4 linked regions of the Oreochromis niloticus genome follow. The protein of the gene in region 2 purifies or fractionates together with the protein of the main gene of each other region. This does not show direct contact. Links are inferred from orthologs where the notes say so. Each region holds a gene or a part of one and is shown on either strand. Other genes may lie near its edges.

Region 1 (8,551 bases), on a different chromosome or scaffold from region 2:
AATCCCACTGGTGTATAAATATCAAGCACCTATCCCTGCAGACTACTTTTACACACATTTGTAAAAATGGGTTGATCTCAGGAGCTCACTTAATTCCAGCATGGTACCGTGATAGGATGCCACCTGCCCAACAGGTCCAGTCTGAAATTTTCTCACTACTAAATTTTACACAGTCAGCTGTTAGTTGTATTATAACAAAGTGGAAGCATTTAAAAACAACAACAACTCAGACACACAGTGTCTAGAAAAAAAAAAGTCAATTTTGTCAATCACTGCAGACCTCCAAACTACATGTGGCCTTTAGATCAGCTCACGAACAGTGCATAGATCGCTTCATGGACACACAGCTGCATTCAAGCGACACATCACCAAACACAACTTAAAGCGTCGGTTGCAGTGGTGTAAAGGGCACACCGCCACTGGACACTAGAGCAGTGGACAAGTCTGAGTTTGGTGGTTGCCAGGATAACAGCACTTGTCTGACTGCAAACTCTTAATGCTTCAGCATATCAAGACACTTTGGTCCATTTCATGATCCCTATTTTGTGGAAACAGTTTAAGGATAGCCCCGTCCTGCTCCAACATGACTGCGTATGTTTACTTACACAGTAAAGTCCATAAATACATAGATGAGTGAGTTTGGCATGGAAGCATTTGACTGGCCTGTAGAGTCCTGACCTCAACCCGACACAGCACCTTTAGGATGAATTAGAGCAGAGACTGCAAGCCAAGCCTCCTCAAACCACATAAGTGTCTGACTTCACAAATGCACTTCTGGAAGAGTGATCAGAAATTCCCATGAACACACACCTAAACCTTGTGGAAAGACTTCCCAGAAGATCTGGAGCTGTTATAGCTGCAAAGGGTGGGCTGACATATTAAACGCAATGGATTAAGAATGGGATGAGACTCAAGTTCATATGAGTGTGAAGGCGGACGAGCAAATAGTTTTGTCATTACAGTGCATCATCCTCAACAATATTAGAAATGTAAATGCATTTCTTATCTAACACAACCCCCTTTCCAGCTTGCCAGCTCTGAGAAGCTTAGCTTTAACCCAAAGTTAACAGGATTTCTTAGTTTTGCCTATAAAACTCAGAATGCAAGTATAAATGCACACAGTTAAATCCATGGATTAAGAATGCAGTCATATCCATGGATTTGACAGCTTATTTCACTCATTAAATATGGACTTAAAAGGTTGAAAACTTGATTTCCATCCTAGGAATCTTTAACATGTGGAAATTACTGGCATATTTACTGTCTAATTTGCCTGAAGAAATTCCCTAATGTAGTGCTGTAATTTACAGTAAACAGTCAGGAGCGTGCTGCGTCTTTCAGACTTACACCTCTTCTCTATGAACTGGTGCAGAAGACACGATTTCCCCGTTCCAGCATTCCCAATCACCAGGAATTTAAACAGGAAATCTGCAAAGGAAAAGCAAAGACACACATTACATCAGTTGGGCTATTATTATCAGACTATATGAAACTAGTTGCTCATATAGACGCTAGCTAACACGACAGGAAATTACAACAAAAATGTGGGAAAAGCTCAGTTACTGTAGTCTTAGTTTGGTATTTTCCAGCTCGTTTTTCTTGTCAATTTAGTTTCACTTCCACAGTGAGTTTGCTCGTTTCATTTTAGTGTTTAGCTTCAGTACCAACTTTCTTATTTATTGTAATCTGGGTTGTGCTTTTCAGAGGTTCAGAACAGATATTATAATACAAACACAGGCAGTTAGCTCACAGTCATCTCACAGTCATTCCAAGCCTCAATAACCAAATGTACCAAGGCCTAATAAAGCTACATGTGACAACAAACTAAACTAGTTTAGTTTAATTAGTCAATGTCACCTCAGTTAGTCCATCTTTAAAAAACACAGTTTTATTTTTTAGTTTAGTTTTAGTGAACTGTAATAACTTGACCTGAGAGATAAAACTCATCCTTCAGTTGATCCATCTACAAACTCAGTTGTTCTTAAGGAAAGGAAACAGGGAGAAAAGGTTGAGGTATGCCAAATTACACAAGAACTGGACTGAAAATCAGTGGCAGTTTGGGATCATCCTGATAGAAATCAGAAATAAAGGCAGTCAAAATCCAAAGAAGAGCTTTGAATGTCCTTTTAGAAGCCCAGAGAACTATTCCTGAAGGCTACTTAAAGAAATTACAAAAAACTGTCTAACAGAGCTCAGGCTGTGCTGAAGAATACCAAATCATACCAAATCCTGACTTTCACACTCATTACAAACTCTGTTTTTGCCTTATATTCTGTATTTCCATATATTTTTGCATGTTTCAAAGAAAGTGCTGCACCTATTTCTTATTTTCCTTGCAAAATATAAACAAATGAGGGTGTGGTTCAAGTTCCGTAAACATGACCTTTCAAAATATTCTAGAGAAATTAGAGACTGTAGCTTCATATATTTTATAGCTCATTTAAATTTAGTTTTCCCCCACTTGAGTGGTGAGAGTTACCGTCACTGTTGTGAAGTCTAGTAAATCCAGTAATCTCTGCAGTAGCCTTGCAAACACCCTTATTTACCACCATATACTCCTGTAGTATTATTATAGCTTAAGAGGACTAGTACATTTTTTCATACAAGACCGAAAAGAATCACCTGCGATAAAGTACAATGCAAAATCAAGATGCAGACAAATCATATCACCACATCACCACAGTCCAGCACAGACTAAACTAGAAATTTGATTTTTGTCTTTAATTTTCTTGGCAGGTGTTCCAAATGGGTTTCAGATATATAAGTGTGACAAACTGTGCACACCGGCTCCCAAACTCCATTTATCAGTCAGGCTCAAGCATATGCTGCACAATACTGTGATGCTTTGGCCATAATAAACTGATGTTTAACAACAAACAGCGCCTGGCTTTTCTTGCTTGATGTTATAGCTTTCAAATATTGATATAGGTATTATCCTAATAAAAAACAAACAAACAATTAAGCCCCCCCCCCAAAAAAAAAAATATTCTGGAGGCTTTGATGTAGGCAAACAAAAACTACAATCAGCTGTTCTGTGCAACGGAGGAATTCATCCACTATTAAACCACTAAACTAGCAAAATAATCATTATTTTGGTGTGAAATGGTCAAGCTAAGAAAACAATGCCTCATATGTGGCTGTAATGTTGCAGCTTAGTCAGATATTACAGCTGCACCAAGCCCCAGCCAGGTGTCAGCTTCCCCTGTCTTTTTCGATACCCTCCGGGGAGCTTTGTAACCTTGTGCCGGGGGTACATTTTTTGCACACGGCGACACTAAACTCTGCTGTACAGCCTTTGTGGGTTTCCTTACGCTGACGAGGCAACTTTTAAGGCCAGCAGCCTTCAGCGGCGGCTCGGTTAGCCTGTCAGCTATCTGTTTACGATGAGAAAAAGCTCTCTGGGCACACCTGCCCCATCCCATCTCTGAGGCTACGGGAGGATGATAACGGTGGCCGCCGGTCAAAAGTGCTTTCTTACCGTACGACTCCGACATCGCCAGTGTGGCGGTTTGACAGCAACAAAGAAGGGAGGGAGAAATGGGAGTTGACAGATGGTTAGCTAGCTAAATAAAAGGAAAATACTCCTGTTGGTGATTTCCGCGGAGTCCAGCTGATTTTTCCCTCCGACTTCCCGTACGCGGTTTGTTTCAAAATAAAAGCCGTCTAACCGAAGAACCGTTGGATCACTGTAAAGTCTTCAGGCAGCCGCAGGGTGGAGCTGTGTCTGCTTGAGACTTTTGACACAGACTTGGATGCTATTTAGGTCACTTTTTACATGTGACTAAATGAATAAATATTAAGTCTTTTATTTTGAAATTGGATGACGTTTCCTAAGGTGATCCCTAAAACATAAAAAAGAATTTTTTTTAAATTTATGTGCTACACATATCTGTACACTGAGACTGCTCCAATCAAATTTGACCTGTCCCGACTGAAATTAGCTTTAAATCCACCAGTGTAGGTCAAATCAAGGAAAATGTCATATCTGTGTGCATTATTAATGGGATAGTGGTAATAAAGGTAAAACTATATGTGTTCCCATCACTCCTGTCCCAAATCTCTTCAAGAGGCACTGTTGCCTCACAGTTGGCTTAAATCCTGGTTTGGGCTTAGCTGTGTGGAGTTCACACAGTTTTCTTTGGGTACTCCAGCTTCTTCCCTTAGTCTGAAGACATGTATGTTCGTGCACTGGTGATTCTAAACAGATCACGGATGTAAGGTAGTTGAAGTTTATAGAAGTCCTGCATAAATGTGTAGTTGAAAGTGTTTTGAATCAATAATAAGACTAGAAAAGCATTACATAAATGCAAGTGTATTATCTGAAGGTGCTTTGCACCTGCAAGCATAGTACACAATGTAAGTTAACAATGCAACAATACAAAAAAAAAATCAATCTTTGGAAGCTCTACTTGAGACTACGAGCAAAATGGTTAAGCAGAAAAAAGCAGAAACTAGACCACAAAACTAACTGAGGGTTTCAAATGATTTACAGTTTCACCTAGTCTAGAAACAGAGACCATATGAAGTCCATCAAGAGTGTTCCTGACCATTGGACTGCTTAACAAAGTGTTAGGAAAGGAAAAGGAAAAAAATAGATCTAATGTGAGCAATTTTTTTAACATGGAAAAACTTCCAAAGCCTCTCACAGCCATTAGTCAAAGCTTCAATGTCAGACAAATGCAGGATATTTAACATATTTAATGTCTTACAGAATATTTATTGATAAATTAAACCTTCTTACCTTACCAAGTGTCAGGACTCTTCAAAGCTTTCGAAGGGCAGGGTTTCCCTCCACTGCTCTGAATGCACAGACTAGTTTGTGCACTAAGTGTTACTTACATTACATTATTATACATAAATAAAAATAGTAGTCATGGGGGGGGAGAGGGTTACACAGAAGTGAAGAAACCCTAAAAAATACACTCTTCTTATGTCAGACAGACATTCCAAAGTACAAGTAACATGCCCATGCTGGAGATCTTATAATTTGATGTAGAGAATTTTTTTTACATTCAACAATATTAAAATAACATAATAAAAAATGAAGTTAAAGATTTTTTTTTTAAAGTAAGTGAAAAGACTGACATAAAAATAATATGTACAGTACAGGAAACAGCAGCAAGAAGATATAATACATACATTTGTAAATGTGTGTAGAAAATTATGTCCTGATGGGTGTGTTCAACTGTCACAAAAAAAACTGTTTTGTTTGTTTGTATTTTGTATTACAGTTTTTCTGTTTGTTTGTTCTTTTATTTTAACAAATTTTCTTTTCTTTTCTTTTTTTTTTGTACCTCTACAAATGAGGTATCTTCTGTGTAAAAACGCACAAATGTGCATACATTTCCATTAAAGGAGCAAGCAAGCAAGCAAACAAACAATTACAAGATACCATAAGAAATGAATCACTTTTCCACCATTTTGGCATAGAAATGTTCTATAAATCAGCCCTTACAGCATAAATAACAGATTATTTAATAGTAAATAAACAAACAAACAAAAGCTGGAAAGGGTAAAGAAAAACAAACTAAGTGATAGCACTATGAAAGTTCATCAATGTATTTCCTTTTTAAATGTTCTGCATAGATGTGCAAATGAGGCAGATCTGGTGTGGCTGCACACCATGCACATAAAAGGAGTGTTTCACAGTAAAAGAGGGCTTCATTAAACCTGTACATAGTTTTGGTTTGGTTTATTATTTGTTTTAAGAAAAACAAATAATAAACCTTGAAAAAAATAGATTTGTCCAGCTCAGGTATAGAATTTCCACTTTTAATTAGACATTGTAGTTACTGTGTGTTTTGCTTGGTGCAACCCGTACTCTAGAAAACTGAACATTTTTAAAGAAATATTAAAAAAGTAATTTGCATATATGCCTTTTAATTTGCATAATATTTGCTACATCTAACTTTTTTGGGCTTAAAAATGTCTTTATTTAGGTTTACCAGGGTAAAAAAAAAAATCACATTGATGAAGCCTAAAAAAAATCAGGTCTCAAATATAATACACTTGACATTAAGGGGTTACAATATGTTGGGAAAAAAATGTTACAAAAAGGATTAACATGGTTCTCCTTTTGTGTGAGGTCAAATGTCATCTATACAACAAGTGCATGTTTTAATATTATGTCCAGGGATTAGTTTAAAATTCATCAGTGGCACAGAAAATGTCCTGCAGCGGTAGAATGGCAGCAATTCTATTACATTTTCATGCAGTTGCTACATCCGGTGATTATATTTGCTAAATAACATAGCAAATATAATCAAATTCTCTGAACTTCATTATCTGTGTTAACATTTCAGTGGGAAAGCGGTGAAATTATTGCACAGGAATGAGATGGAGACGCAGGATGAAAAAATAACAAACTGTAAATCTAAACCAATCAGCAGCAACGTTAGGATCAAAACCACTGGCATAATCGAAGATCCTTAGGGTCATGTTTGAGGCACTTTTGTTACCAGGGAGAGCCACGGGGGCTGGGGGTTGGTGTTGCTTTTGTGGCTTATCTCAGTGTGTGGAGAACCTTGAAGTGTTTAGGGAATCCACAGCACTGGTGTATCTTTTGTATGCATTAAACATTTTTGTGTTTCTCAGCCATTTTGAGCTGCTAACAAGCACAAACGCAAAGTTTTCATCATTATTCTGCTGTCAAATCTGAAAGTATGATTTGCCCCATACTTGCCTGAGGCAGTTTGGGGGAGTGATGGAATACATGTACCAGCATTACGTATTTAAAATACAAAATATGAGTAACTGTATTCCATTGCAGTTATCGTTTTAAAAGGTGATATTCAGAATACAGTTATTTCGTTGAAATAAATAGATTACATAGTGGTCTTTTCCTGTTTCGTATGTTAGGCTATGCCCTCTCTATTTTTGCTAATTCCACACCGGTGGAAACCCAAACATAACACACATTAAGAGGCTCTAATGCCTGTGTCTCAATCTCGCGGCCCATGTCAACTCTACTTGGGGCCCGCATAATGACTTGAAGAAATATTTTTAAAAATTATTATTCAAAAAATTATTTAATATGAAGGCAATAGGCAGAGTGTTACAGGCATAGCCCTAAAGAAAGTACGAGTTGTCACTGACCAGATACGGGAGACGGAAGCATGTAAATATAATAATAACCACTGCAGCCAAAAAGAGTGCCTGATGAGCCCAGTTGTAAGTAAGCTATTAAGACTCGACTGTACACTGTGTTCATCAAACAGTAACTTCTATCGGAGGAGCCTTTCAACACCTCTCTCTGTCTCTCAATAGCAAAGTTGACCCAGACAACAAAGTAAAGGTAGTTTTTGGCTTCGAGCCTGACACAGAACCCAAAGTATTAGCCAGAGGTCCCTTTACTACTGTTTGGAGCCGTGGACCTGTTTTATATACGCACAGAATTGTTTTCTGCCCCTTCGGACAAGCACGTTAACATTTGCCTCTGAACAGGAAGTTACCTGGATCACAACGTATGCAGAAGTTTTCACTGAAGCAGGAAGCAAAGTCTGCCTTGCACCCTGCAGGCCAATAGGAAGCAACATAACCTGTTTGGTTTTTTAAATTAAATTTTGTTAGTAGCACAGGAAATCAATTCAGGCCACATAAGTGATCTGAACCAGATGAACTACACTAGGGTTTTTGCTACTGTAAACCTATTGAGCCCTTCAAAGTCCTACAACTGACTGAACACACTGGGCTACATGCTGAACATAGCGGATAGAAGCAAAGTACCAAACCTATCAAGCTAGTATAGAGCCAATACTAACACCAGTATTAGTATAAATACCATCAATATTTTGATTGAACTGCCCACCTCTAGTTTTAGTTTCATCTTGGGATTTCTCATAATTCTTGCTTGTATGCACACATGGGATTACTTCAAAGCAAGTATTGTGTCACGGTCCTGGGCCTGTGGCCCAGTGTTTTGATTCTATATTATTGTTTATTGGGTTCTGTTTTGCTTTTCTAGATTTCTTGTCCTTCTGGGTTGTGATTTCTAGCTCTTAGGTTTTAGTTCTGCCCTCATGTTCCTCCTGTCCCTGTTCTGTGTTCCCTCTGTACTGTGTTAGTATTGTCTCTGAATTCTGCCTGTGGAGTTCCTGTTTTACTTTGAAGGTCTTGTCTCATGTTAGTGTATTCTGTTTTACTTCCTTGTCCTTACTAGCCTAATGAGTCCCAGCTGTGTGCCCACCTGTTACTCGTTTCCTCATGTGCCTGCCAGTGTATTTTAGTCCCTGTCAGTTAGTTCTTGTTGTCGTGTCGTTAACGTCAGTTCACCCTCATGCTGTGTGGCTCTCCCTGTGTTTCCTGTGAGTTTATGTTGTTTCCCAGTTTAGTTTAGTTTGCTTTGTATGCTTGTTTTCCCGTGCCAGCAAATAAAGCTGAGTATTTTGAGTTCATCCCTCGAGTCTGAGTCCGGCATTTTGGGTCGACCACTCCTGCTTGCCTGCCTGCCACACAGCCAACCATGACATACTGTCTGTATAAATACCATGCTTTCTTCTTACAACAAATTGATCAACAAATCGATTTACTTTGCCTTACAGAAACCTGGTTT
Region 2 (7,701 bases):
TAATGATGTGAGTCTGCTGGATAAGTATATTTGGCTGAATAAACCTTAGGCATAACCACTTTAAAATTTGGAATGATACTGTCTAACTTGCGTAGCTGTGGACAATAAAGCAGAATCTGCTTTACCTCGCCCTCAGACTTTACTCCAATCACTTTTCCACCTTCCATCACGATCTCATCCACAGGTTTGTTCAGCATGTAGGTTCCTCCATAGATTGCACTCAACCTAAGATTACAAACGAGTATGATTCGTTAACTCGAGGAGTGGTTTTGATAGTTATGATAGACTCCATCATAAATATCATAAGTTTAATTTAAGTTAAAATACCTGGCAAAGCCCTGTGGCAGTTCTCCCAGACCATAGAGGGGATAGAGATAAGGGCTCTTGCCATACCGTGCCAGTGATTCACTGTAGAGTTTGATACGGTTGATCGTCTCCAAACAAGGAACATCAAGATAGCTGAAGTGGAGCAAAAACAATGTGAGAACTCCATTAATATCTATTTAAGCACATAATAACAATAAACCCTTGGTATTCCCTGATAAGAACATCTGTGACTCAAATTTGAAAGCATGCAACTGTGACATTAAGCAGAATTAAACCAATTAAACGGCTGATAATGGGTGATGTTGTTCTTACTCATCTGTCCTGTAGAGGGCCAGGGCGTGGCCAGTGAAGTCAATGACATCCTGACCGAGGTCAAACTTCTTGTAAACATCCCTCATCGTTGTGGTTTTGGGGTCCACGCCCTCGAAGGTCTTGGGGTCATTTTCATCAAAATTGGCCACAAAGACTAAAAACTTTCGAAACCTCCTCTTCTCAAACATTCCCATCAGATCTGTGTATTCAAACCGAGGTTTCAGCATTCTACTGTTGACGTCATTGCGTGCAAAACGTGATGAGACAACGTTCAGGTGACTTACTTGAAGCTAGTGCCTCAGTCTCAGTTGATGGCACCTTGTAGATCTTTCCTCCTTTGTAGACAAAGCTGCCTTCCACTACTTTAAAGTCCAGATACCGTGTCACTTCTGTGTATAGCAGCATCTTTACAAGCTGACCTGCAATCAGGGAGGCAAACACACGCAACATCTTACAGGGGATTTACGGTTCTGTGTTAAATCCACACTACATATACAACAAAACCACAAATCCCTTGAAAGCCTACGACGTAACATGCTGTAACATGACGTGCACCTCCCTGGAAATATAAGTATGTTGCATTAACACATCCCACAACTATTGTATTTGGCCCGTTTAGTCTGGTCGATTCCTCCTATGCATTTCCAGCTACTTTTTTACCCTAGTTTTTGAATGGATCACTAAGAGGACAACAACCACCGCCTCAATGTAAGAACTCAGAAATGTCATCAGATTCCTGGTGGGGGATTTTGAAAACTACTAGAATAAATATGAGGAAATGTACAAAGAAGTGGAAAAACTTTATGGACAAATATGTTGGCTTCTGAAAAAATATTGATTGGAACAAAGATTAAAGGCCAGGAGGGAAAAAAGTCCCAGCATTTTATTTGTTCCTGTCACGAATGGCACTGCTTATAAAACACCAGGACATGGTAAAACACCACCCACAAGCATTAATGCTGGCAAAGGTGTTGGCCACTTAAATAGGTTACATTGCAGGGTCTCCAGAGTCACCTAAACAAGCAGTTAGTGTGTGACCAACCTTGAAGAATTAAAGCATTCTGCAGTTACAATATTAAGCTCCAGAATTACCCTCTTGAATAGTCTGAAAAGCACTTTGGCTCTTGTGTACTTATCACGTGCTAACTTTTATGGCATTTTTTTATATAATTAGTAATAGGATCCTAACCGTTGGCCATGAGAAACTTGGGTATGAGGTCAACGTTCCAGTCACGTCCTCTGCCCATTGACTCAGGTGGGGTATCTGGCAGACTGAAGCGCTTGTACAGCTGTGGAAAAGGACAGGAAAGCCTGTGAGGCCCATCGAATCCGAGGCTTTACAGAGGATAAAGCAGTTAGCAAATGAAGACAGTAAAAGGGTGACAGATGGGACTGGAAGTAAAATGAGATATACTGAGAAACATTAAAAGTTTATTGATTGGTTTTATAGATCCCAGAAGTCCTTACCTCCTCCAGGGGTGTAATGGAAGAGCTCTCCCCACCGTAGTAGGGGTTTCGGTCCATGTGCAGAACCTTCTTGCCATTCACGGACATGATCCCGGACAGAATGCATTCCTGCACGAAAGCGGATTTATTTATCCAACACATCAATTACATCAATAACTCTTAGGTATAAAACAGCCCTATAATAAATCCTTCTCTTGTCAAGGCTCCAGTGTTTTAGAGATGTGTTGAATCATTCATTGAGGGGTGTAGTTTAAGTTGTCAAGATGAGAAATGTTTCTATTATTTGGTCTAGACCTTTTTACAGCATATCATTAGAGATAAGCACGCCGCTTAGTTTAGACACTGAATGTAAATGGAAGTAAGGAGGTTCTGACAGAAGGATGCGGGGGACAGTGGAAAAGATGTGCGCATGCGTGATTGTATCGCCTTAACAACGTAGCTACGACAATTATAATAATAATAACAATAATAGTAATAATGTTATTAAAAATGTATTACATAGAAAAGAAAAATCCTGTGGATATGCATCGTCGTATTTGATTCCATTTATAAAACTACCAGAATATCGGCTTCCGTGTATGCAAAGAGCTGGGAGAAAAGCACAGAAAGCGCATTTCTGCCGCAGAGGGTGTGATGAGTGAAAGGAAAGTGCGGCGATAGTGGCAGCAGTGAAAAGCTCTGTCATTTAATAAACCGGAGCTCAGGCCTGCGCCAACCTCAGGATGGAGGCCTGCCTATGCAAAGAGGACCATGACACACTGTGGGGTTACGCCTAAAAGATGCTGCTGGGTGTAACACAACACTGAGCCGGCTGTGACTCTGGGAAAGCAAACAACTCCCGGTCGAGCAACTGTTTGCTTCTTGTCGTGTACAAGCAGATCAGCTGGTGCGGTTTATTTCCAAAGCGCATCTCTTATGATAAATTTCTAATGTGACACGCACGCCGGGATGCAAGGGGCTTTCACTCCTTGGCTAGGATAGAGGATAGCGGGCCTCTGGTCTGGCTAAAACCATCATTTGGGAAGCTGACACAATCAATTCGGTGTGTTTCTGTGCAAACAAAACAAAGCTTGACTACTCACTGTGAGTCCGGTGCCCAAAACGATCACATCATATTCCTCATCCATGTTGTCTCACCGCCTCTCCCGTCTCGCCCTCTTTTTGCCTTGAGAAATGAAGGGTATTGGAAGCAAATAAAACCGGTGAGTCCACAAACCGGGTAACTGTCTCTTACTATCTCTGCACAGGTGCTTTAAATTGCTCTTCAAAGTTAAATATTATTTATTAATCATTGGGTATAAATGACCAATGGAATACACAGTCCACACTGTCACCGGCGAGGACGACCAAAGATGGCCCTGATCGTGGAGCAGTCTAGAACAATGTCACTGCGCGTCGGTAAATAGTGCGCATCCTCCTTCCCTATTTCCCATCCTGCCACACAATGGGCTCAAGCTGCAAAGCGGGAGACGCCGCTTTGAGCCGGCTTTGGCGATAGTTTATTGTGCACACGGGGTGTGCTGTTGTGGAGTTTGGCTTTTGTTTTTGGCCATTTTGAAACCACGGTGTGTGTGTTCTCTAATTTCTTATTCTATCTTTCCTTCCCAGTTGTAGGCGCAGCGTTGCGTGGATGAAGGCAGAGATATCCTTCCGCTGCCACAGCTGTGTGGATGGGAGTTGCTTTCACTGACTGAGCGCACGCACTCAGGCCCTTACAGCAGGGGTGTTTCCAGGCTTTTCTTTTCCTTTTTTTAACGGGGTGGTACAGGGGGTGTAGGGTGGGGGACCAGGGGTAAGGCAGGGGATCGTAATGTTTGATCGGATTTAAATATTATTAAAGAAAAGTGTCTTTTCTGCAGCCCTGTCTCCTAATAAAAACGGTGTTACACGAAAAGTAGTGCTGCAAAAGATTTGGATAACCTTTCTGCAAAGTGGCTAAACAAGCATTTAGGCCCCTTTTTAAGTAAATGTCACATTCCTATTTAAGTAGTCTGTTTTGGCTGTGAAATGCAACCTACAGTCCCAAGTAGCTAAAGTAAAAGTATTTGTTGTACAGAGTTAATTATGCAGTCATGATCACTGAATGATTCATATATTATCCTTTTTACATTACAGTGATGTTGAAGTTTATCTATGCCTTACATATGATAATATCATATAGGAGTTCAGTAGAAGGATAAGCATAATTATGCTTTTTGGGACAGGTAAAATGCTAAGTAACTACAGCATTACCATAACTGTTATTGGGCTACTGTTTATTTAATTATTAGTAATTATTAATCTCTGGCTGTCTTCCACAATGAATCTTTTATCCTGGCTTTCTCCCATCACCCCAACCCACTGCAGCACACGGCTGCCCCTCTCTGAGCCTGGTTCTGTTGGAGATTTCTTCCTGTTTAAAGGGAGTTTTTCCTTCCCATTGGCACCAAGCGTTTGCTAACAGGTGGTTGTTTGATTGTTGTTGTTTTTGTTTTTTGAGGAGTGGCTTTTCAATTAAAGAAATGTTAAGACTGATTTATTTATCTATTTATAATTTACTTAATTACTTATTTGTAATTGTTAGGACATGAAACAAAGAGGGAATTAAACAATTTAACTCTTAAATGCTTAAGAGTTTCTTAGACAATTAGGCTACGCCCTAAGTGAAAGTGAAAAAAAGAAAATATGGATATAAATGAAGTGATAATGGAAGACTCTTTGTTTAAACGCACACACACACGCACACCATACTTTAAAGAATCAATTGTTCTGCTAAGCAATGTGCTGATGGGCAGCTGATGGTACTGTAGCGGTTTCGCTCCTGGAAATGTTAAACTGTTCTCGCCGAGAGAAACTAAATAAGAGCAAAGCTGTAGTGTGTCATTGGTGTCAGCAGCTGCTGTGGGCTGTTCGGGCTGAATGAAAGAAGGAGGAAGTCATCTCTTCAGCACATGACTGTCAGGTGGTGTGGGTCACGTGAGCATAGAGTTCCGGAAAAGTCTAAACGAAAATGGCAGGTTCGAGGAGCTGCACTCGGTTAATGGGTGTTTGTATTCTACTTTTCGCCCCTTTTTTCGCCTTGGGGAGCGCCACGTCTCAAGTGCCTTTTCTTATGTGGTCCAGTGAACGGTAATATTTAGTTTTTCTTACTAATTCATTCAGCAGAACTCACTTTAACTACCGGCAAAGTTATCTTGTATGCTAACGCTGATGCTAACTCTTCTAGCTAAGTGAGTTTCTACTTTGCTGCCCAACCTTGCAAACACTAAGCGTTTAAAGTCTAGGAGCTAAATATCTAGAGGAGTATTTACACAGAAATTGTAGATATTTGCTTGTGCGTTTTGTTACAATAAAAAAATCCTAAAAGGTTATTGTGAAATCCAGCTCTTGTTCATAATGGCCATCCTTTTATTTCTTAATTTTGAAATAATCCACAGAAATAACGATTCTCCATGATTTAACCCCCTAAGGTGACGCTCTTTAGCACTAGTAGATATGTTAATGTTGTTGATCTTCATTTGCAAAAAAGCAAAGTAAGCTGTAAGATTAAAGATAAAGAAGAACTTTATTGTCATTAGTTATACAACGAAATTTGTTCACTTTTGTACATTAGCAGCAGACATGATATGGAGTAAAGGAGAGAGAGGGAGAGTTAGCTATTTTGTGTTGGGGGGAGCGGTGACACAGGCTACAGCTCTGGGGGATGCGGTTCTGATTGCCCTATATCTCTTCCGCGATGGGAGGGGTACAAAAAGTCTGTGACCTGGATGATGCAGCTAGCTCGCTTCTGTAAACGGCTAGCATAAACGGTGTCAAGATTCGGGAGTTTGGTTCCAATGATCCCCTGGGCAGTTTTGACGATCAGAGCTCGACGGTTTTCTGCAGTGCAGCTGAAGTACCACACTGTGATGCAGTGACAGAGGATGCTCTCTATTGTGCTCCTGTAAAAGTTTACTAAGAGCTGGGTTGGCACATTTGCTAAAACACAGTTTTGCAAGAGTTTTGCAAGTGTACTACACTTCTTTAGGATGGCGCACACAGGAATTTAAAATGTGGAAGTATACTACTGTATGAGGTGGTGTGTTAAGCAGGAGGACAAGGCAAGGTTGATATACCAAAATAGTTTTCTTTGATGATAGGATGAATATCTGATTCATTATTTTTGTTGTTGTTGTAGTTGTTGTTATTTAGACATTTATCATTTTTGTATAATGTTATGCCAGCTTTACAGGAAACACATTTTTGTTGGGGAGTATTCAGAGGTTTCATTTGATTGACTGATGGGTGGCTTTTCAAAATAAAATGAAGTACTGTGCTTCATAATAAAAGCCGCTGGGGTTTTTCAGCATTTTCAAAAAATGTGTCAATGCAACTGAACCACTTAATATCACAATTCATCTTTATTTTTTTCCTTATGTTTAGCTTGCCACCACTGGCCTCACCTGCAGCTGGTCATATAGCATCTTATGAGCAGCTGAGTGCCTACCTCACCTCTGCCTTCAGCTCTGGCTCCCACACTGTGCTGCTGTTCTTGCAGGACAAGGTCAGTACCCGACACATGAACTAGATTCTGGCTCTGTAATGGATATGTTTATGTCACTAAATTGTTCACCCTTCGTTGATTTGAAAGCTAGTCCTTTTATATGCAAGTTGTGTAAAATGGGGTAGTTGTACTGCATTCCCATGTGACACTGCAACAGTGTGGTGTGACAGTGAGTTTTGGCATTACTTCCCATTTCTCAGTTCCTCTGTGATACATCGGGTCTTTTTTGTGGTGGTGGTGAACACTCAGTGTTGTGACTGAGCCATATATTTATATTTTCCCATGTGATATTTTTAATCATTGTAATTGTCATGAAATTGTCATTGTAAATCCTCTATAACTTTTAAACAACTACACAAGCACAAACAAGATATTCCTTTAGATATAGCTTGCGTGAAAAGCGTGAATGCGACAATGATTTCATTCCAGTTTGTTGTTAATTGAGGTATTGTGGAGCCGCCAGTTCACTCACATTTTGGCACACTAGCATACTGTCATGCATACAGACAACAAGTCACTCAAACAGACATTAAGATTTGAAATGTAGTTTTTCCTAGTATTACTGAAACAAAGAAAATGGAAGAAGTAGCAGATAATAATTGTCCAAATTAATGTAATTTGTTTATACAGTCTGTATTTTTTAAGTATGTTAAATGCAAACTGAGCCATTAAAAAAGAATTCCTTTAAAATAATGTCTGATTATGAATGGCATTAAGTCAATTTAGCTGCTAAAATAAATTAATTGCTCGTGGGTTAATGGGACTGATAAATGTTTCAGTTGTTTAAGTCTTCCTGAATTCAAGAAACAAATATTTTTTTTCCCTTTTTGTATTTAGTTAAGCAAAGATGACTTCACAGTCTTTGGTGGAGTATTTGGGAACAAGGAGGATAGTGCTTTTAAAAACATTGAGGTATGTTTTTATAACACATATGTTAGTCCAAAATTAAGATAGTTTTTCCCTAGACTAACAGAGACTAATAATTCTCCCCACTTGATCCTTTTCAGGATGCAATGCAGTCTTCTACCTCAAAAGTGACACTGCCTGCCTTGGAGTGGTCTGGTTCCTTTAAC
Region 3 (8,108 bases), on a different chromosome or scaffold from region 2:
GCAGAGTCTCTGATGTAACTTGGGATGAGGCTACGAAATCGCTCTTGTCCTGCTGTGTCCCACAGCTGCAACCTAATCTGTGGGGGAGGAAGGGGAAGGGGATGGAAAGAAAAAAAAACAAAAAAACCCAAAACGAGATGAAAATGAAACAAGAAAAACAAATACACAAATGGGGTAAGTTTATGTGACAAAAAAAATTAATAAAAGGAAATAAAGTTGGACTAATGGGAAAAGATAAAGAGAGAGAAAGGTGAGCACGTAGTGCATGCAGGCAGTGAATAAGCACCAGAGAGAGCTAGCTGTCTGGGCCTTTGGGAGGGAAGAAAGAAGTAATCACCCTTCACTTGTCATCAGCCCTCCGCTCTGGATCAAGTAAGGTGTTTAATTTCAAAACGGTGATGAGAAAGTAGATGGAAGGGTAGGAAGGAGAGGAAGAAAACTCATGTTGAGGGAGGAAATGAACAGAGAAAAGGAGGATTGTCCAAGGGGGATACAACACTCCTGATCACAGTAGCAATGTACAAATGCTGTCTCTGTGTGTGTTAGAAAGAGCCCAGTTCAGTGGCTAAAGAAAAGCAACTGAACAAGAAGAAGAAAAACAAAAACAGAGTTACTGGATGTGACAAAAATAAACTTACTGTTCTGTCTTCAAGATACATAGTTTTTGACAGGAAATCAATTCCTATTGTGGCCTGAAAAAAAAAGAATCAACCAAATATTCACAGTCATTTCCAATGAGTATTGCTGTTGATATCAGGCATCATCAATGATTATTAAAGTTAAAAGTGGAGGTGTTAAGTCTCACTTGGTAGGTGTTGTCGAAGCTGTCGTACATGAACCTGGTGATCAATGAAGTCTTTCCCACTGCACAAACACAAACAAGAAACTCTTAAAGAGTGCAATGACCACACGATCACTTTGATTTTGGAGAAGAATTAGGTCCATCTTTTCCCCTGGAAAAAAGAACTGCCTCTATAACTGAACCTATTCTACATTTCCCCCCAACTAGAAGAAAATTTAAAACTGAAAATGCTTTTTACACTTTCTGAGCACCCAAAGTCTTCAAACAGATTATTTTATCTGACCAACTGTCTAAAACCTAAACATATCTAATTTGCAATAACATAAAGCAAGCCAGCTGCCTTTAACTGGAGCCAATAGGATTCTGGTAATCAAGTAAGTTCACTAATAATTTCAGCTGTAAGCAAAATAATTATTTCAGGGCTAAATAAAAACTACGCAGATCTCTGAAAGCTTGCAGAAATGAAATGTGTTTAAAGTTATTCAACCCGAAGCAGCTGCTGTGGCCCTTTTCCACAGATGATGACCACTAATAACAGAGTAAAGCAAGCAGCTTCATGTCACACAACTCCCACTGCCCTCTTCAGACCTCTTGTCCACTAAGCGTGTAGTGCACAGCTGTTCAAAGTAATTCAGGAGTCAGAGGGTTGAGCAAAGCACAGAGAGAAAAAGGGCTGTAAGCAAAGTTTGCCATTTATGTCTGAACTCCCCCCACCAGTGTATCCAGGGTGCTGATTTGATCCACAATGGAGGGTTTGTGTCCATATGTAATATGAAACTCTGTAATGTTGTTCAACACACAAAACTACGCTTTACAAACTTTGCAGCTGTAAAATGCTTCAATTTTTTTCTAATCTCATAGAAAAACATTTATGAATACCTTTAACACATCAGGGACAGTCACACAGCAGCTCTGAGTACTCGCACAGTGCTGCCAGTTCTCAGACTGTTTTTGCTGAGCTCGAGTTACATTATCAGTTACAATGTCCATCAAGGGATGGTGACAGGGCTACAGACAACACTGCTGTTTACAAGGCTTAAAGGAGCCACAGCTTATCACAGACTGTCCGAAAAACGCAGTGTGTCTTTCCCATCTTGGTGGGACTTACGGGTCATATTATAGCAAAAACATTTATTACAGTTTTGTCAATAATGTCATCAAGTTTTGGCTTCCTTATTGCTTCCTTAATTCTTTCCTAGTTTCATTTATCACAGCAGCTTCTCAACTCACATCTTTTCTAAAGAGATCTGTATTATTTTATATACAGTCTATGGCACAGTGCGACTGAAAGACAAGTTTTATATTTTGGGAAAAAGGTATGCAGGGACTCTTTCTACGTTTGCATTTTTTAATGTTCTTGGGTATGTCTTATAATAAATATTTGTGCAATGTAATGGTTTTGACATTTCTTGTAATTTCTTCAGCTTAGATGTTTATTATGTATTTAGCTTCCTTTTTTGTGAGTGATTGGGTTTGTTATTCTTCTCACATCACAGCAGGAGAAGCCATGACTTCTTTGTTCCTTTCTTGCTGGAAAATTATGAATAAATGGTGCAAAATCTCATCTTGACAATAGCCCCTTTTTTGTCTTCCCTATTGTCCTTTGGTGGCTATCTGAGTTCAGGTTTGATCCAAGTTTCTCTTTACCGAGAATTCCAACTTCATACTGTTTTAATAAAGCAACATGAAACAGCTCCTTCAAATATGTTGCAAGTATATTCCAAAGAAAGAGACAACGCTGGACCAATAATCCAAATTCTACTTTAAACCCTAAAATCTGTGGACACCGCGGACGACACAACGAACAGCCACACAGCTTTACCTAAGACATGAAAAACAGCCCACACGAACCCTCTGTGTAGACACTGAAGGAGTGTAAATTAGTAGGGAGATCGCAGGAATGCTGCTTGGCAGGATCGTCCAATTTGGAAGTTGCTCCAGGGTAGAAATTATGAATTTATGATCACTCTAGTATTATGAACATCTTCTAAACACAGCAGGGTATGACTGGAGTTCACCTATCCTACAATAACGAAGACATAATGCTGGTGCTTCATATTTTAACATCCTGTTAAATGACACTTGGTAATTTCCGATGCCTCCGTTAATGATGTGTTATCACAGCCCGTCACACAACTGAAGTAAGAGTCCATTTTCACAGACATGACTCATTTTGAAGGAAATGAATCACCTTTTTAATCAGGCCAAGGCGAAGAAACTGTTCGTAACAAGTTACTGTATCGTAATGCCATCACTGCCAAGTGTTAACGATACGTGGCTAACGTTAGCTAGCTAGTTGGTTGACGTTAATCACCCACCAAACTCTGGTGTTAGCTAAATGTCCAACAGAGCAAAAAACTTAAATCCTACATCCCACAACACTTAAAATTACCAGCAGACTTACCGCTCTGTTCACCAAGAAAGACCAGTTTAAATTTTCTTAAAGGGTTTCCGAAGTCTCCGGCCGAAGACATGACTGAATCAAACCTTGACGTTACTTTTCGGGAGCTTCCTAGCTAGTCAGCTAATGCTAACTAACCAGTTGTTGTCAGTTATCAAATGTCCAGAAGCAGCGAAAATGAACAGCCCCACTCGTGGCTGACTTGAGGAAATTTTGTGCTCGAAGCGTATTCCTTCAAAGTCCAAGTCAATATTAAGCACCTCACTAACTACTGCGACCAAGTTAGCGTTACTCTTCTACTCTGTCATATACACCAAACCAACCAGCCACCTCGGGCCACTCTTCTTCAGATACAACTTTATGGATTGATGTGTCTTGGCATGTTGCGGTGCTGCCCTCTGCTGGTGGAGCAAAAAACCCACAATGAAAAACCAGACTGCCCCTTTGGCAGAGCAACGCACTGATACATATGATTCAGTGGATTTTTTTTTTTATTTCACAAAGTTGGAAGCATTATGAGGGAAAAAAAACTACCGCGCTAAGGCTGAAAAAGAAGGAAAAGGCAGGGTGTGTTTTTTTAAAGCCCACTAGAGGGGGTACTTTCATCACAGGTGAGATTTCACTACTAAGCAATTTTAATGGGAATCCCAATAATTTTTAAACCTAAAGAATTAGACGGTGACTTTTACCGATGGTTAAATTACATGGAAACATTTTTTAACATCCATCCATCCATCCATCCATTCGCTTATCCTGTTCAGGGTCGCGGGGTGGGAGGTGGGAGGGGGGCTATCCCAGCTGTCTTAGGGCAAGAGGCAGGGTACACCCTGGACAGGTCGCCAGTCTGTCGCAGGGCTAACACAGAGACACAGACAACCATTCGCACTAACATTCACACCCGCATTCACACCTATGGGCAATTTAGAGTTTTCATTTAACCTATCCCCACTAACTGCATGTCTTTGGACTGTGGGAGGAAGCCGGAACCCACGCAAACACGGGGTCAGCACTTATGATGAAATCCTTCAGAAGTAGAAGATTAAGGAAGACAACAAGCACTAATAAATGACTATTTCTATTAAAAACAGTCCCCAGTAGTGAGTAAAATTTACATTAGAATTTCTTTCTTTGTTACTCAGAGTTTTTAGGTAAACTTGATTTCATTTTTTTCAATGTAGAATAAACGTTGTTTAAAGAAACTGTGTAACACTCCCATATAGCATTCGACAGTGTTAATCAGTCCTGTTGGTGCTGAAAGAATGGCATTCTTTTTGTTCAGCCTATTTTTAAACCTCACTGCAATGTGCACATGTTCAGCCTTATATTCGCTCTATTAATGCCAGGTTTTGCTGGTAACCATTTAGCATCAAGCCAACTGGCATTAAGAGTCCTTGTGAAGGAAATTAAATCACAGTTGAGGGTAGCAGTTTGTAGCTGTGAAAGTGGATGTCTGACTTGTTAGTTCTATTATGTCGGACACTTTTAAAAAATTGGTATCAGCCTGTGATGTTTACAGGACCCTGTGTAGCTTTTATTGGATTACTCATGACCTTCAGCTCATCAGACAGCTGCTGTCCTGAAGGATGAAGCCCCGAGGCAACATACAAGGTGGTTTACTTACTCCACCCAAAGACAGAAAAGATAAGATAAGATAAGACTTTATTGATCCCATGGTGGAGAAATTTGTGCGTTACCTCAGCTCAGGTGCAGATAGCAGAAGAAAAATACAAAAATACAAATAAAATACAAACAAATACAAAATAAGTAAAATAATACACTATACACAACGATAAAACACACGGTACATGATTATGGATAGAGGGATGTATGAATGAAAATGCTGGCATGAAGGCTTCATGATTTAATTACGTGGCACTAATTTGTGCTGCAGTATACTTTATTCTACCTGTTTAATTCTGTTAGTGTTTTAATAAATTATATAAATGATCCACTCTCATATACAGCAATGAACACTACACCTCTGCTTTTTTACCTGCAGTCATTTAAATACCAAATCAAGATACTTATAATCTCCCACTGACTGATAACCATCTTTGGTCTCAATATTTTGTCATTCCAGCATCCTTGTTGTTAGGGTAATTTAATTCTTACATAATTCCTATTAAAGATACATGTGCTGTGTAAGGGCATGTATTATTTGTGTGGACATACCCATCCTGATGAGATCAAAGATGAGCTGAAACAGAAAATAAATTAAAATGTCAGAACCCTACAGATGCAAGTGTTTTTTTCAACTATTAATTAACCAGAGGAAACACATCTGACTTCACCCTACTGTTCACTAGCCTGGATTACGTTTACATTTTAGGGGTTTTAAGTATAAAAGGCAATGCATTATTAGTGTGTAGGTACAGTATGTGAGTTCATGCCTGCTTGAGCCAGCTGTTCTAAGTCACTGAAGAGAAGACACACCTGCGCCCCGCTCTCATTCATGTGCCATGCAGCTCTGAAGTCTCTTTGCAGAGCAGCTGACCGGCTGATGCCAGCCCTTCAGCTGCTCTGGTTGCGACCCGCGCCTCATTAAACTTGAGCCATCAACTTGAGCCGGCTGCCTCTCCCCTCCCTCTTCTCTCCTCAATAGCACTCCTACGCCACATGTCCTTGGCCAGGGAAAGACCCCAAATCTCCCGCCCCTCCCGCTGAAGATGCTGAATTAACAAATTCTCCATTGCTCCCGGTCTCCCTCACTCAGTCATTCTCCGCCTCTCACGCATAAGCATACAGAGGGATGCGGCACGTGTGTTTCCACGCGCACAGCAAGACGGATTGCGCTGTAGACCTCTGTAGAGCTTGTGCATTTTGAATGTGCTCATTTTTGAAAAATGCATCAGCACCCTGAATTGAGGAGGTGCTATCAAATTTCCCCCGAAGCTCCTCAAAGTCACGCACCTTATTCGGCAAGAAACTGAGCTGTCAGCTTGAAAAGCGTGTAATCCAGAATCAAAGGAGCATGACTAAAAGGAAGCATGGTGCAAAAGAATCGAAGCTGTCACCTCAAGTCATGACTTCATCCTGGTGCGCTGGTCTCATGTCAGGCCACCACACCATTTACTTCTGCAAAACTTGACTCAGTCTTCTAGATGGGAAAACCTTGCTATGACTCACATATTGGGGAAAAAAAGTCTTTATTTTTTTCTTCTCTTGTTCAGATAGAGACAGTGTATAGGGGATGTTTGTGCATTATTGTATGAATCTGACCGTATCCATGTGCGTAATGGATGGAGACCATCACATTCCCACACCACCTTGATCTAATGTCAATGTCACACCAAAGTACAACACTGTGCTCATCTCTCCTGTGAGGGAGACTGAACGCAAGGGCTCTAATGGAGGAGAGACTGATGAGGAACAGAGAGAAGATGAAAAGGGGAAATCGGAAAAAAGGGGTATGAAGGTTAGGCCAGGGTAAAATAGGTGTGTTGTCATCCCCAATACAGTAAGATAGAGAAAGGGAGGGGATATGTGGGGGATGGGGTGGAGCAGAGCTACAATTCTCCTGTAATCCTCCTCCTGGAATCATGAGGTTAGATGATGAGAGGGGGGGAAAAAACCAGGAAGAGAGCATTTGAAGTGAAGGGAAACACCGTCGAGCTTCCAGACTGGAACAAAGAACTGCAATGAACACAGGGCAGGAGGCGCAGTTAGATCACAACTCCGTCTTTTCTGTGCAACATCAGGCAGGAACAGGCACAGCAGTACAGTGGGAGGCATTCTTGCAAGCATAACCGAAGCAGAGATCAGAGTAGCAATCCAAGCACATTTACAAGAGGAGGCAGGGAAGGAGGGAGGGCGAGAAGGAGGGATGAGAGAGAGCAGATCTATGAAAGGAGGAGGAGGGGTGTTGCATGCTCACAGAGTGTGACAGAGATAGAGCGATGAACGAGGCTGAGACACAGAGAGAGAGAGAGGGAGAGAGGGGAGAGCACAGAGCAGAGATGGGGACCGAACGCTGAGACAGAGGTAGTTGGCAGGACTCAGATCTGCAGAACAAACGTGAGGAAAAGGAGGAAGAGAGCGAAGGTGAAGGAGAGCAGGAGGGAGAGAGGCGGGAGGGAGGGGGGGTGCAAGATGATGGAGCCCAGAAATAGGTTTCTCAGGACAGCTTTTCATCCCTGCAAGACATGACTCTTGGTGTTGGACTGTGCTGAATTTTGCCAGGGGGACAACTCAGGACAACACAGGACAACACAGGACAGCAGGTCTGCAGCACATTGACTGGGTTCAGCCTCACTGGATGCAGCAAAGCAGCTGATTTATTACTGAGGGGCTGGGTGGCAGCGTGTTTGAGTGTGTGTCTCTGAGCGTGCGTGTGTGCATGTGTGTGTATGCATGTGTGTGTATGCAGGTTTTTATGGGTCCTTGTAGCACTCAGAGCTGTGGGAGCGACCATTCCTCCAGTCATGAAATGACATTCAGCAGGCAGGAGCTTTGTGTGCTGGCGTGGATCTGCAGTCCTCAGTAGGAAGTGCGAGAGTGGGATTCAGAGCTGTCATCGAGTGCAAGTGTGTGTGTGTGTTTACAGTGCCGTTTGCTGAGGTGAGCCAAGGAGGATCAGCTGTATGTGTTGTGTGTGTGTGTTTAGGTTGGAGTAGCAAGGGTGCAGCAAAGGCAAAGCTTCTACACAATGCAAGGACGATTGCAGAGGAGCACCGATGGCAGTGAGTGCAGCTAAAGTACAAGGAGTGCCCTGGGGGTAAGGTGGAGGACAAAGGCAGGGACAGAAGAAGGAGAGGGGAAGGAGAACAGAGGCAAGTGGAAAACAGAGGGTGATCATGGCTGTCATTCAGTGAGCTATAGCATATGCTGTAGCGCAGAGCGGAGTAGTGCGGCAGGGGGAGGACAAGCATCACTGCACAAGGGAGGGGGAGAGACTACGGGAGAGAA
Region 4 (8,039 bases), on a different chromosome or scaffold from region 2:
AATACATCTACACGTACGCACACGTGACCTGCGCCATAGCAGATCACGTCCAAGACAAAAGGTCAGCATAAAACCTAGCGACCAAGCAATCGTCTGGAAAAGCCCTTGCACCTCAGTGTGCAGATAGCAAGAAGATCTACAGTTTTTATTCAGAATACACAGATCCTTACAGATACTTTTATTCCTCGCTCGTTTGCTTGCTTCCATTTACCGTTATTCTAAGCCTGAAGCCTCGTAATATTAACTTTACATGCAATTTGCATTTTTCCCTAATATCGTAGTTTGGTTTTCTGTTTTTTTTTTAATACATTGGAATATAATATGACTGTCATTCTCTGGGTTGGCCATATGAAGCCAATTTGTTTTTTCCTTGTGAATACAGTCAGTTTGACTGGGAAACCCAGAGTTGACTTGTCAAGTTGATAACAACCCTGGTGGATTGCCTGTGATAGGGTACGATACAATTTTGCAGGCATTTTCATTACGTGAGGAAAAAAAGGTCTTCTGCTACAGTAAGCCCAAATATTATAAAAACCTAATGAAGTGTAGTCTGCATTACATTTCTTATATTATTAGTACCAGGATCTGTGGATAAAAATATTTCAATCTGGGTATGTCACCAAGGAGCTTCATCAGAAAATATTTTGAACACATAAGGTCATGCTGTGCTTACTAACCACAAAGAGCTGCTGGTGTACTGGCCAAGGTGAGACCTCACTGACGTCACTCTCAACCACTGATAATAAAGTACACTTATTGCAACCCACTGATGGGGTATGGACAGAATCACTACTATGCTAAGAATAGCATTTGCTCTGTTTTGGTTTTTACCATTTTAACCACACAACTATTATAACATTTTAATTAGGAGGAGGAAGGCGTACAAAGGTTCTAAGCATTTTTTCATCCCCTATGTGTTTATAGGCCACTAGTGCATGTCATTAACTTTTTGTCTACTCTCCTCTGTAGTTGGTGTTAACTCTTGACTATTGTGCATGGTCTTTCTTTGCGTTCTTTTACCCTTTACCCCTAGATTGGTGATAGTAGATGACCCTGAGCTACTGTTAAAAGGGAGGGTTTTTTCTCCTCCCACCATCAACAAGTGCTTGGTTAATAGGGGATCATTTAAAAGATAGTCTCACTACCTTACAATATAACATTGAAACAACTGTGGTTCTTAGTTGGTGCTACATAAAATAAACTGAAATAAATTGAGAAAAGAAGATTGTCGGTACTGGAAAATACTTTATTTGCTTCTGTTGATGCATTTCCAACCTGGCTACCGTGTACCCCGCCTCTCACCCTATGATAGCTGGTATAGGCTCCAGCCCTCTAAATAGGATAAGTTAAAACAGGGATGCATGGATGGTTGTTTTGTGGGGTAGTGCAGGAACAGATCATGCAGGAGCTTTGACAAACGACACCCACTCAGTGTAAATTCACAAGACAATTTCCTGCTTTATTCTCACATGGTCTCTCAGTTCTCCTAGGTCAGATCTGACAGATTCAGACACGACTCCACCGAGTCTTGACTACATAATTTCACAGCTCATAGGTGCAACCTTTAGGAAAGTAGAACCGTTTAATGTTTTTAGATAGCCAAGTTAGGTCAAATGCATTCACACAAATTTAGTAGTAACTGCTTAGTTGTTAGGCAAAAAGAGCACACCAGCACCTCCAGATACTCAAGATATCAGTAAAGAAATAGTGATGAGATATTCCTAGTAACAACAGCAGTACCTGATATAAACAAGCAATCTGAAACCTCAGACAGCATGGTGAGTAATAATGATGTTGTTTACATGATGATGTTTAAAAGTAAGATTCCCATTGGAGACACTGGAAATCTGTACAAAATCATGTTGACATGGAGAAACATGCAAAAAACACAGCTGGAATACACCCAGTAAGCCAAACAGCAGCTTTTGTTAGTGAAGCCTGCATGCTGATAGGACGGACAGAGAGACAGAGGACATGCAACAGGCAGGAAAGTAAAGGAACTGGTCACTTACCATATCTGTAGTCTAATCTTCTTCCCTCTCAACTCAACCGTCTTGATTTTGAAGTCAACTCCTATGAGGGAACCAAAACATGTGAACAGAGGCAAATATAAGCAATTCCTTTGTTGCTTTGCCTTTATGTTTAGCTAAATAGCTAACACGGTATCCAGTAAACATATTTTTAAGTTCAAGACTCTGCCCACAAGTTCTAGTGTTAGTAGATTTAATAGATGTGGAGGACTCACTGAGTCAGCCACAAAACAATACAAGCCACATTGCATCACCCAGCTCGTCTGAGGCAACTTTTTCAGACAGGCTGGGAGACTGTAAAACTATTCCCTCTGTGGTACCTAATCAAAGAAGCATGTTATTAGTGACACATCTCACACAATTTATGAGCTGTGTCAGGGAATGACAGGGCACAAAATGGAGCTCTGCTATAGCAGCTGCTTCTGTTAGACTATTTTGGGACTGGACACTATGGCTGGCTGCCGGACTGGTCATAGGACTGTTTACCCAGCTGAATGTATAAACAGATCTCATGTATATTTTTAATCTGCAAACACGACTGGCAATTTGTCACAAGGCAATCTCGTGTTCAGTAAGTAAACATACCAGTGGTCAAATAATCAAATAATTAAAGAATGTGTTTTTATGTAGAAATATGCAACATGTTAGTTCTCTGTGTAGAGATACATCAGTAAAATCAAGGTGGTATTGGATAAGACTACTTCCTGGTTAACATAACCAAAACAGGCTAACTAGAAGTAAACATAGTAATTCAGACCCATAATACCTATAATATAATATTCTGCAAATATTATCAGAACAGTAATAAAGTACAATTATTCATTCGTATTTAATTAATAAAAACGCTGTCCTTTAGCAGAAGTCTAAAATCTCTACATGCAAACGTTAAAAAAAGCTTAAGGAAACCTAGTTCATGTGATTGAAGTCAAAGGAAATGCTATTGTTACTTCAGTCACCATGGTCAACTGGCTAAGATACTGTTATCAACATACCTAGCGGGCTACAGCTAGCATTAGAAATAAAGTTTAGTCGCTATGCCAGTGAACTTGGAGGATTTATGGTCACTGGGCGCACCCCACAGTAGTTTAAGCATTTCTCCTCGAGTATTTAGCCGGAGCCGTTCTACATGTTTTAGCTGATTAAATGAAAAGTTGTCAAAAAAAACTAAACCTTTTAATGCCTTCTGTCCTCACCTACGGTTGACTTGCAAGCTTCGCAGAAAGTGTCGTCGGTAAATCTTTCCATGAGACTTGTTTTACCAACACCACGAGAGCCAATAATGATAATCTGAAGTTTGAAATCAGCGGGTCTGGGAGGCATCTTCCTGCGGCGTGACTGAGCCCCCAGAGCGGGGGACGAGTTCGCGGAGCCCCCGCCGCCACCGCCGGCGGCCCTCCGTGGAATATCATACCTCGGATCCATTAGTAATCCCACATTTGTGACTATAAGACGAACAGACAAATAACCCTAACCGGTTATAGAAGCAACACAAGCCGGTATCTCTAACTTTCTTTTGTCTCTGATGAAGTTTGCGAAAGTTTGTCAGTCGCAGACAGTTGTTGTTGTTCAGCCATTAGAGACCGGGGCCACCGTGATGTCATTTCCGCTTCCGGTGGCTATGATTTCCATTTTTATACATTTTTTTAAAATTATAAACAGAGACCGTTTAATCACTTGTAATCAGAATGAATTACTTTTACATGTTTTTTTGATTTATTAAACGTTTTCAATAAAAAAAGGAACCAAATATTAGGCCTGCATGTAGAGAGACCTACTAGGTCTGCATGTTACAAAGAATGGGATCTTGAATAAGAGTTCTGGTAAAAAACAAACAAACAAACAAACAAACAAACAAAAAAACAGGGCACATTCTCTTATAATGTCAATTATAAGAGGATGTCAATTATATCAATTATAAGATTTCAGTGCATAATCTGGTCCTTATTAGGTCTTACAATTGGGTAAATAAAGCCTCAGAAGAATTACAAAACATGACATATTATACCCTGTAATTATTTATTTAACAAAAATTAAGTCAAAATATAGAGGTTACATGGTAAAAATAAATACACCCTCCCTTCCCCCAAAAGAATTAAGAGGGTAAGTAGAGGTCAGATCCTGGTAATTAAGTGCCCTTGATTATTTAATCACCAGCAACTTCTGAGCATTTCTATAAAAGACGTTTTGGCAGTTTGCTAGTCTGGAGCATTCGGGTGTGTGTTAACACAATGCCAAGAAGGAAATACATCAGCATTGATCTTACAGAAACAATTGTTGCTTCCCATCAGTCTTGAAAAGGTTCTAAGTCCATATGAATTTCACTGAATTCCATCATTCTACACCGAGAAAGATTATTAACAAGTGGAAAACATTGATATCAGTTGCCAGTTTGTATTCAGAGTGGATGTCCAAGCAAATTAAGCACAGGCTCTGGGACTTTGCAAAAAAGAAAAAACAAGAACTACAAATTTCACAGACCTCAGTAAGCATGTTCAATGTTAAAAGTTCATGACAGTACAATTAGAAACAGACTGAACCAATATAGCTTGTTTGGAAAGTTTGCCAGGAAAAAGCCTCTTTTCTCTAAAATGAAGACAGCACGGCATTGGTTTGGAAAATGGCCTCAGAATAAACCACGAGACTTCTTGTGGCATGTCTGGCAAAACCAAACACAGCATATCAGCACAAACACCTCACACCAAATGTTAGCACGGCTGCAGATTGGGCTTGTTTCATAACCACAGGACCTGGACTCCTTGCAGTCATTGAGTTGATTATGAACTCCTCTGTATACCAAAGTTTTCTGAAGTCAGTTGTGAAGCCATCTGTCTGACTGAAATTGGTCATGCAACTGGAGAGTGAGCCCAACATATAACACAATGACTGACAAAAGAAAATAATAAAGGTGTTGCAATGTCACAGTCAAAGTCTGGAATTCAATCTGATCACAGTTTTGACCTTAAGAGAGCTGTGAATAAAATGATGCCCCGCAAACCTTTATTATTGCTTCAAACTATTGCTATAAAAGGTGCTACTGAATCATGGGGTGCATTCAGTTTTTCACACACTGTTTCTACGTTTACTTAAATAATGGCACAATGTAATACATCATGTTTTGTTGTTCAATTCAAGCTGTATTCATTTAAACTTAAGACCTACCAATGACTAATTCATTTTTTTTGCAATATCCTGACATGTAAAACCTTAGAAAAGGGGGCAGATATACTTTCTTTTCACCATGAAAAAAAAACGTTTTCTTTTTGTATCACAACTGAGATTCTTGATCCCTTTAAAGCCCCTGTAGGTAAATTTGTGATATGTACAAGTTTTATTTGACTTGAGGTTGCAGTCCAACAAACAGGACTGTGAATATCTAGTGTAAGTGTGAAGAATCAATGCAAGTTGTCCTGTTTTCTCACAGTCATATAAAGCTCTCAGGAATTCTGCTCAAGTGTATTTGATTTAATGTTTGGCAAGGAAAAAACAGTAAAGACCACAAGGGAAAGTGCAGTTTGACAAAGAGAACAAAAGAGCACTGTCCTATAAAGTTTGACGTAGCTCTCATAAGCATGGCAAACTGACTATCTGGTGCTTTGCCAATGGTATTAACATGTACGGGTTCCATACATTCACTCCACACACATCTGGAAAATGTTAAAGAGGCCCACTATGTCAAGTTGCTATAGCCTCCTGCGCCTTCACTTGTCCTCAGCTACGAAAAAATAACAAAAAAAAAGTACAGAACCAGTATGTGATTGCAAATTTCTGAATGAATACAAGATACTTAAATAAATACACTGTGAACTGAAGATAATCAATGGGCCCACGCCCTGACTTAACAGTGCCTATTCGCTCCCTGATGGAAAGTTACAGAATTAGTTGTGGGTGGTTTTTTTTGTTGTGCCTGCAACCTTACCAAACACTGGTGGTGTCATGGTGTTCTGTTAGACCTGTTAGTCATGGAGGGTTAAGTTAAGGCCCTTGCAGTCCTGCATTAATTTAGCACTCTATTTTTCTTTATATTTACAAAACATATTATCAGCAAACATTAGACTGAAGCTTTGTGAAACTTCTGGAATTTGAAACCACACTGCAGACTCCCACGTCACCAGACTTTCTTGTGATTGCTTCCAAATTCATAATCCAGACTTTGAGCAAAGGCTGTTGTTGTTTTAAACTGAGCTTATAAATGAGTTGGTTTTAAAGCGAGGGCCTGAAAATTACATTGTTTGTAAACCCTAGACAGTAAACACCTAAACCTTGGGATGGGAATTAAAGCTGAAAGTCTGCACTTAAATCACACCTTGATCGTTTCATTTAAAAATCCACTGTGGTGGTGAACAGAGGGGAAATTGCCAAAAAATGTGCCATTATGGATCTGATTGTATAGTCTTTCATTTAAAAAACAAAAAGCAAATTCTTTAGCTGCATTACAGTACTAGAGCCAGATTTTCGCATTCCCTGCTGTTGTTTTTTTTGTCCAATGCGGCATCCGTAACTTGCGACAGCTGGTGACGTTGCGGCCGAGGAGGAGTTCCTGGTAATCCAAACATCGACGAAGCAACATCCATAGTCGTTTATCAATAACATATTCCTCATAACCGAGTTGATCGATCAACATCATGGCTGCTCAGAAGATAAACGAAGCGCACGAGCACATAGCTAAAGCGGAGAAATGGTGAGCGAGGACAAAAACGATTATTTCCTGCTCTGTAGTTTTACTACTCACGTTAGCTAGCTGTAAGGCCACTGTGTATTTTCTGTTGAAAGGTTATGCGACATAAAGTGACTTTATGGTTATTTATCCATCGCACTATAGTTGTATTATTCGTTTATTATTTGTTCCTCGTGGTGTGTTTACAGCTTAAAAACGAGTCTGACAAAGTGGAAGCCTGACTTTGACAGTGCTGCATCAGAATACGCCAAAGCAGGTAAAACACGAAACGACACTATAGTGCTTAAAACTGGAGTGGGTTTTTTTAATCTATATATTAAAAATATATAATTTCACAGTGAGCTAACCTCTGTGCTTTGTTTCTAGCTGTGTGCTTCAAGAATGCCAAGCAGTATGAACAAGCAAAGGATGCTTATCTGAAGGAAGCTGAGTACCACACAGAAAACAAAACGTATCCTTTCCCGATCAAAGGAAAGGCACAAGTCTGCATATATTCTGTGCAATCGCTAGCCACTTTGTTAGCTGCTCTTTAAAGCAAACCTTTAATCAGCCAATCAGACAACAGAAACACAAAGCGTGCAGGCAGTGTGGGGGTGTAACCGTTTTTAACCCTGCACCCTGGATCCTGTAATAGCTTGGTCCAGGGTACCTGCTTATCGCAGATTTAACAGTGTACCATAGTTATTCTCACTAGGGGTGTAAAAACTCTAAAACCAAGACCAGAAAGACTCTGGCACAAACATACACAATGTATTATAATTCTGTCATTCCATACTGTGAGACCCACGTGGAGATATTGCATAGAAATATTGAAATGTCATCAGTTTATAATGAAAGAATTAAGTGACAAGATTTGTGGCAAACTGATTATTTTCCCATATGTATTTTGTTATTCAACCTCTCAAGGAAAACTAAGATTTGAGCTAAAACCCTGCCATCAAACCCTGGTAAAACAAATCTGGCTTTGAAGAATTATTACACCCCTGATTCTGATGAGTTTTCATTTCATGAGCACTTTATACGTTGGCATGGATTCATCTTGCCTTGTGTCAAAAATCGAAGGAGGTCTTAATCCAACAGAGCACCTCTGGGACGAAGTTGAACAGTAGAATCACATTTGTAAGGTGCTGCCCAGAAATTTGTAACAACTGTAATCCTGCTGCGTCTCCAAGGACCCAAACCTCTGAGGAAGATTTCTAGCAACTTGTTGATTTTTGCTAAGAAGAATTAAAGCAGCTTAGAAGACTAAATGTGCTCCATTGTGGCTCGAACTATCTGTAACTAAATCAGTGGCTGCAGATTGTTTGTAATTTTCAAGAACAAATGTCAAACAT

What was found.
Region 1: the proteins of gdi1 (region 2) and rab4a purify together in Homo sapiens (co-immunoprecipitation; 4 studies listed by BioGRID and IntAct, counting the BioPlex papers as one, with this or other methods). This does not show direct contact. The link is inferred for Oreochromis niloticus from reciprocal best matches to the Homo sapiens genes GDI1 and RAB4A.
Region 3: the proteins of gdi1 (region 2) and rab6a purify together in Homo sapiens (affinity purification with mass spectrometry; 3 studies listed by BioGRID and IntAct, counting the BioPlex papers as one, with this or other methods). This does not show direct contact. The link is inferred for Oreochromis niloticus from reciprocal best matches to the Homo sapiens genes GDI1 and RAB6A.
Region 4: the proteins of gdi1 (region 2) and rab12 purify together in Homo sapiens (co-immunoprecipitation; 4 studies listed by BioGRID and IntAct, counting the BioPlex papers as one, with this or other methods). This does not show direct contact. The link is inferred for Oreochromis niloticus from reciprocal best matches to the Homo sapiens genes GDI1 and RAB12.

The regions. Positions count from the first base shown.
Region 1 is NC_031965.2:25,563,405-25,571,955, reverse strand, and holds the start of rab4a (ras-related protein Rab-4A), read right to left. Parts: upstream 3,651-8,551; 5' UTR 3,495-3,650; coding exon 3,479-3,494; intron 1,429-3,478; coding exon 1,348-1,428; intron 1-1,347. UniProt on the Homo sapiens protein: The small GTPases Rab are key regulators of intracellular membrane trafficking, from the formation of transport vesicles to their fusion with membranes.
Region 2 is NC_031984.2:7,303,193-7,310,893, forward strand, and holds the start of gdi1 (rab GDP dissociation inhibitor alpha), read right to left. Parts: upstream 3,527-7,701; 5' UTR 3,234-3,526; coding exon 3,189-3,233; intron 2,215-3,188; coding exon 2,107-2,214; intron 1,929-2,106; coding exon 1,829-1,928; intron 1,059-1,828; coding exon 924-1,058; intron 839-923; coding exon 640-838; intron 460-639; coding exon 328-459; intron 226-327; coding exon 126-225; intron 1-125. Other genes in the region: V-type proton ATPase subunit S1, read left to right, coding at 5,096-5,214, 6,508-6,628, 7,466-7,540, 7,636-7,701. UniProt on the Homo sapiens protein: Regulates the GDP/GTP exchange reaction of most Rab proteins by inhibiting the dissociation of GDP from them, and the subsequent binding of GTP to them. Promotes the dissociation of GDP-bound Rab proteins from the membrane and inhibits their activation.
Region 3 is NC_031975.2:10,589,247-10,597,354, forward strand, and holds the start of rab6a (ras-related protein Rab-6A), read right to left. Parts: upstream 3,560-8,108; 5' UTR 3,277-3,559; coding exon 3,207-3,276; intron 865-3,206; coding exon 806-864; intron 693-805; coding exon 639-692; intron 78-638; coding exon 1-77. UniProt on the Homo sapiens protein: The small GTPases Rab are key regulators of intracellular membrane trafficking, from the formation of transport vesicles to their fusion with membranes.
Region 4 is NC_031982.2:24,892,606-24,900,644, forward strand, and holds the start of rab12 (ras-related protein Rab-12), read right to left. Parts: upstream 3,619-8,039; 5' UTR 3,453-3,618; coding exon 3,224-3,452; intron 2,074-3,223; coding exon 2,013-2,073; intron 1-2,012. Other genes in the region: napgb (N-ethylmaleimide-sensitive factor attachment protein, gamma b), read left to right, coding at 6,653-6,708, 6,894-6,961, 7,072-7,156. UniProt on the Homo sapiens protein: The small GTPases Rab are key regulators of intracellular membrane trafficking, from the formation of transport vesicles to their fusion with membranes.